Xenopus tropicalis: one gene and its partner. The protein of the gene in region 1 interacts with the protein of each later gene in a biochemical or structural test. Links are inferred from orthologs where the notes say so. Each region holds a gene or a part of one and is shown on either strand. Other genes may lie near its edges.

Region 1 (2,426 bases):
CGCACAAACGTCATCACACAGTTCATCGTATTTACAGTTACCCGAAGGCGCCAGGCGTTGGCTGAAACGTTGGCACGGGGCTTAAAGTATCTCCATTTGTCTATTTACAACCAATAAATATTTCTTTAAAAAAGAAAAAATAACATTTTTACACGCACACGCAAAGGACGTAAATCCACAGTACTGACCCACTCCATCGCCGTTGCTGGAGATCGCTTACAAATGTCACATTTTGGCCCCAAAGTGTTCCAAAAATAAAATAAAAAGTGAATATTTACACAAAAAAAAAAAAAACTATACAATTTTTAAGGGGGTTTAGTACTTGCACCTTTCTCCGGCTGGTAAGAGCGACTATCGACCAATGGGCAGAGAAAGGTTCCAAGGTGGGGGGGTGGTTGCTGATTCATCTTTGGTGTGATTTGAAATGCTGCACTGGATGATGGGGGGCGGAGAAAGGGCAGGACTGGGGGGGAGGGGGCGGTGTCAGTCTCCACCTTAACAGGCCTTCATTTAACATGGCTTCCTTCATGGTCACGTTGGAGGCCAGCCATATCCTTCCAGGGCTTTCAGGGTTTCTAAGGTTTTTGGAAAGTGCTTCATGTTGGTGAGAAAACCCCTCAGGGGAAGTCCCTTTTGTAAAAGGAGAAGGCGACTCCCTGATCATAGTCTTCCTCATCGAAAGGGCAATGCCACAAAGTGTCAGTACGGCACAGGGAGGGCGTTGCGCGCTATAGCCAGCATCATTAATACTGAATCCCTCACTACTGCACGCGATGGGCGTCTTCTCCTACGTCCCACCCCACCCTTCTCTTGAAGGCACCTAAGGCATGGAGGCAGATTTTGAGTCCCGTTGATGGGCAAGGGCTTCCTCTCTCCTCACAGTCAACAAGAGGAAGCCGAGGGTCGGCCTGAGCTCCGCGACTGCTCCCACCTGAACCAAGAAGTCATCTGCTGGACTGGAGCTGTAAGTGCTGTCCTTCTGGGGGGCACTGGTCCCACCAATGTCCTGTTGAGGGGGCTCCAACGAGGCCATTTTGACCACCTTGCACGTGTCAGAAGATGCCTTTGGCGATCTTGAGTCCCTTCTGCTTCATGCGGGGCAATGTGGAGCTGGAGCCCTGCTTGATCTTCACGCCTTTGGAGAAGCCGCGTTTCTTCAGTACAAAGTCGTAGTTGGCGCCTGAGTTCATGGCATAAAACACGTTGGCGTTGTCAGGGATCTTCAGTTCTGCAGAGGGGAAGCCATAAGAGAAGGGGAATCACGTTAGAGTGGTACCGTTAGAACAGAAACTATACCCCCTGCCACCTTGCAGGTACAAACACAGGGGGCAGGTTTCTCCCAACATACACTGTTCTCTTGCACATAAGTAATGAGTATCTGCTGTGAAGTCACAACTCACAGGGTAAATATACAATGCAATCGCACTGCTTATAGAGCTGGACTCCTGCCATTGGGAGGAAGGAGGAGACTTAGCTCTATGGAGAATAGAAGAACTACTTGCTTGTCTCTAAATTCTGACAGTCCAACATCTGGCCTTATACTCTTTCTAAACTAGGTACCAGGCTCTTCCTCTCTCTCCTGTATCTCTGAAGTCTCAATTCGCTCTCTTGCACAACAAGCCTTCCTTCATTTGCCTGCACCTCTATTCTAAATTTCCTGTCCTGCACTTCTATCCCTACTTCACTGTCCTGTGGCTCTATTGGTCACTCTCTCTCTCTCTCTCTCTCTTGCACATCCAGCCCTCATTTTCCTGTATATCTAGCCTCCATTTCCTGTTCTGCACCTCTATCCCTCCTTCCCTCTCCTGCCCCTCTATCCCCTCCTTCCCTCTCCTGCCCCTCTATCCCTCCTTCCCTCTCCTGCACCTCTATCCCTCCTGCCCTCTCCTGCCCCTCTATCCCTCCTTCACCTCTATCCCTCCCTTCCCTCTCATGCCCCTCTATCCCTCCTTCCCTCTCCTGCCCCTCTATCCCCTCCTTCCCTCTCCTGCCCCTCTATCCCCTCCTTCCCTCTCCTGCCCCTCTATCCCCTCCTTCCCTCTCCTGCCCCTCTATCCCCTCCTTCCCTCTCCTGCCCCTCTATCCCCTCCTTCCCTCTCCTGCCCCTCTATCCCCTCCTTCCCTCTCCTGCCCCTCTATCCCCTCCTTCCCTCTCCTGCCCCTCTATCCCCTCCTTCCCTCTCCTGCCCTCTATCCCCTCCTTCCCTCTCCTGCACCTCTATTGGTCACTCTCTCTCTCTCTCTCTTGCACATCCAGCCCTCATTTTCCTGTATATCTAGCCTCCATTTCCTGTTCTGCACCTCTATCCCTCCTTCCCTCTCCTGCACCTCTATCCCTCCTTCCCTCTCATGCCCCTCTATCCCCTCCTTCCCCTCTATCCCCTCCTTCCCTCTCCTGCACCTCTATCCCCTCCTTCCCTCTCCTG
Region 2 (4,087 bases), on another chromosome or scaffold:
TAAAATCTTCATAGTCATATTTAAAATGAGAATGAGATATCCTCAGTTGGAACACACACTACAGTAGAGTTCCAACTAGTCACTGGAAGCAATGTCTGGACAAAAGTGTTGCGAGTAATGGATTATTATGGTTGAGCCGCCGCACACAAGTTTATAATCACAATTCATGGTGAAGACACAGGGGGCAATTAGTCACCGCAATTTAAAAAAAAACTCAGTAGTGGCGACTAATTGCAGAAATTGAACTGCTATAGATGTGACTAATTGCGTGTCATTTGCAGCAGGGCAATTAGTCACTGCAACTTTTTAAAAAGTTGCAGCCACTAATTGCCCCGTGTGACTTCGCACCACTGGACTTTGGAGTAATGGATTTTTTTTTTCTTCAGGCCAGCATTCCTCATCACATAGAGAAAATGCACTGGTGTTCTTTATAGCTACATATTATGGGAAGTATTATAATAATTATACTTTAAATAATAGACATTTGGGGAGATATTAAACTGAAAAGGGATTAAACAATTCTAGTAGACACCAAACTATCGGAGGCTGACACAAAGCTGTTTCATAACTAGGAATTCATTCAGGGAAAAGAAGCACAGTTCCACTATCAACAAAGAAAGAGCTACTTTATTGTATGGGTAGTCAGGTTTGAGAATGGAGGATGACACACTGTGTAAAATTGAAATTAGTGAATCAAAACCAGACTGTATAAGAATGAAATGAACCCGATGAGCTACAGGTCTAAGAGCAATGGCTATCCTAACCATTTTGTTGCTTGCTTTTCAGCTTACAGTGGGAATCATAACACTTGTACCTGTGGGCCAAACAACTATCACTACAGTTTTTACCCTACTGAAGTTTTGATTTTTGCCTTTTGATTTTTTCATCAAAACTGAATCCCGAAGTGCCCAAGTAGGCAAGCTAGTGTTAATGGTCATGCACCAACCCATGGCATTAATATACAGAAGGAAAATAGCTCACCAATACCCATAAGCTCAAAGCCAACATGAAAAAACCCATGTACCACTGTAGCCCTTTGGATACTCATGAAAAACTGTTTCTAACAACTACTTAGATATAAATGAATTCAATGAGGCACAACTTGTGGACCAAAGCTGCACTGTTGAATTGGATCTGCTGGTATCCCACAACAGGTAGGATAGATCAAGTCTACCCGCCCTATCTATAGTCTTTAATGGTCACAGCATGACTGCTTTATATCACAGCATGATCGTTTCAAGCATATATATATATATATATATATATATATATATATATTTTATAACTTAAATGTCATATATTTACTTCTAACTCATTTAATCGCCAATATAAAGTGTATTAACCATGACTGATGGTATTTCACACATTTTTGCATTGTTTTTTCTGGTGCTACTAGTGTAGCAATTTGTGTCTAAAACAACTTGTACTATATATATATATATATATATATATATATATATATATATATATATATATATATTATACACTTCTCTTGTGTATACATGCACAGAGGTTTTCACTAAATCATGCCATTAAATAGAAAGCCTATCCAGATGTAGACAATTTGTGTACAGCCACAGACTTAGATGATAATGGCAGGATATTCACAGATGCTTGTTATGTTCATATGTAATTAAGATGCTTTTGGCTGAGGGTTTCAGTGCCTTTCAATCCCTTTACATAAGGTCAGTAGAGCATATGTGCATGTTTATTTAAAGGCAAGTTCATATATGATACATGATGACTCAGTAGAATGACAGTAGGGAGCAGCATGTGTTGTGTTTATATATATATATATATATGAATACCCTGAGGCTCCACTGTGCAGCAAAGCCATCAAGCAAAAAGCTCTGCAATTCTGCCAGTGTCTGAGATTCCTCTGAGGAGCCTCATTGTTCCCTGCTGTAACAGAGAGACTATGGGGAAAGACCCAGACATATTAAATATCTATGTCAGTCATACTGCAGGGACCAATATTCTGTTTCCAATCTATAATATAAAGCATTACATGTACAAAAGCTGGACTGGGCAGACAAACAAAGAAAAGAAATAAATGAAGGATGCAATAGGGGAGCAGCCACAGCAGAAGGCTCTACCCCAGCCTGCCCCAATGGGCACTAACAGGGCAACAGGACAATGAGCTGCACAGGAGCCAATGAGAGGCGGCTTGGCTGGAGACAGGGGGGCAGTTTACTGGCAGGTTGAACAAAAGTAACTAGAGACTAAGGGCCCCCTTTGTTCTGTGCAGTAAATGATGCAGAGCCGCGGCCCCACACCTGTGCTGTACGGCAATGCCAAGCTGGCAGCGGAATGTGAGAGTTGTAGTTGAACAGCTGGAGGGCCGCGTCCAACCCTACTCCCCCCCCCCCCCCCGCTTGCCTTTTGACGCGGATGATCTGGTCCCTCATGGGCTTGATATCCTGGAAGCTCTGCTGGTTCACCATGCTGTACACTAGGATGAAGCCCTGCCCGTTCTTGATGTACAAGTCCCGCATAGAGGCGAACTGCTCGGTACCGGCCGTGTCCAGGATCTCCAGCACGGAGGGGGACGAGTCTACCTCTATCTCCTTGCGGTAGAAATCCTCAATGGTCGGGTCGTACTTCTCGATGAATGTCCCTGTGACAAATTGCACGGTCAAGGCCGACTTGCCGACCCCGCCGCTTCCCAGGACCACCACCTTATACTCACGCATCGTCCCCCTCCGCTCCCTCACAGCGCACCGCTTCTCCGCCTCCCCCTCCGTCCTCGCCGCCCCTCCTCTGCAGCGGCTTTACGAGACATGGGAAAAAGGCCGGGCTACGTGGGCCCGGTGCCCGGAGCTCCCCTCTCCCGGAGCGGCTGTTATTCGCTCATTCGCCCCCCAGTGACTCGCGTCGGCCTCTAACTACCCACTCCCCGCTCTGCCAGTGCTCTACGCCCACTTTGCTCGTCATGGCCCTCGCCTCTCTACCATTGGCTCCTTCACCTGTCGCCTTAGCAACTACCGGTCCTCAGGAACACAGGGAGGAGAACGGGACTGGCATCACCAAATCCGCCTTCTTTTATCAGGATGCTGTGAGGAAAAAAAGCCATCGCTCGGTCCTCAGCGGCAGCCAATCAGAGTGGAGTATGACCTTGGCGTCATACTCACAAGCCAATAGAAAGAGACCAGTGCTGAAAATGGGTTTGAAATAAAGATCCGCTGCCCGTCCTATGAGTCTCTCTATGCCAGGGATCCGCAACCTTTTATATTTGTGAGCCGCATTTAAATGGAAAAAGTTTTGGGGAGCAACACAAGCATTAAAAAAGTTCCTGGGGGTGCCAATAAAGAGCTATAATTGGCTACTTAATAGCCCCTATGTGGACTGGCAGCCTACAGAAAGCTCTGTTTGGCATTATACTTGGTTTTTATGCAACCAAAACTTGCCTCCTTACCAGAAATTCAGAAACGAGCACCTGCGTTGAGGCCACGGGGAGCAACATCCAAGGGGTTGGTGAGCAACATGTTACTCATGGGCCACTGGTTGGGGACCACTGCTCTATGCAATGTATAATATGAGAACATATTGCATTAAACGTAGAAATATTAACTCTCCATTTATATATATACTTGTATGTCATTCCTTTATTCCGTAAATCCCTGCAGACTTTTTAAGCAACAGGTTGTTTAGTAGTACCTTGTACTGTAATATTAGCAACTCCCTGCGACTCCTCTTTCCTCTCAGGAGGACCTCTCCATTACTGCTGGGGGAAGGCTTAACCACACTGATTCCACACGGAACTTGATCTCACAATTAATTTGGGCACCAGTGGTTCTTAAGAACAAATGATAACTGTTAATGGAATGCCTTCCCTATCTCTCTGGAGGTGCTGATTTGGATAGTACAAGCTCACAAATCAGTAAACACTTCAAATACATTATCACATAAGTTGTTACTCACAGCAGTAGTGTTCACAAAACCCCAGAGATATTATTGCCTTGGTGAAACAATCCCCAGTGCTAGGCGGAGCTCACAGTTGTCCCATGCTCCAGGAACCTTATATCTATCCTCTTGAGTCCCTATACTGGCGGCTTGGCACGACATACTAACACTTAGTAGCCTCCTC

What was found.
Region 2: the proteins of ralgds (region 1) and rap2a form a complex in vitro, tested with the Homo sapiens proteins (2 studies listed by BioGRID). The link is inferred for Xenopus tropicalis from reciprocal best matches to the Homo sapiens genes RALGDS and RAP2A.

The regions. Positions count from the first base shown.
Region 1 is NC_030684.2:11,315,712-11,318,137, reverse strand, and holds part of ralgds (ral guanine nucleotide dissociation stimulator), read right to left. Parts: intron 1,229-2,426; coding exon 1,053-1,228; 3' UTR 1-1,052. UniProt on the Homo sapiens protein: Functions as a guanine nucleotide exchange factor (GEF) activating either RalA or RalB GTPases and plays an important role in intracellular transport. Interacts and acts as an effector molecule for R-Ras, H-Ras, K-Ras, and Rap.
Region 2 is NC_030678.2:121,612,064-121,616,150, forward strand, and holds the start of rap2a (ras-related protein Rap-2a), read right to left. Parts: upstream 2,801-4,087; 5' UTR 2,694-2,800; coding exon 2,380-2,693; intron 1-2,379. UniProt on the Homo sapiens protein: Small GTP-binding protein which cycles between a GDP-bound inactive and a GTP-bound active form. In its active form interacts with and regulates several effectors including MAP4K4, MINK1 and TNIK.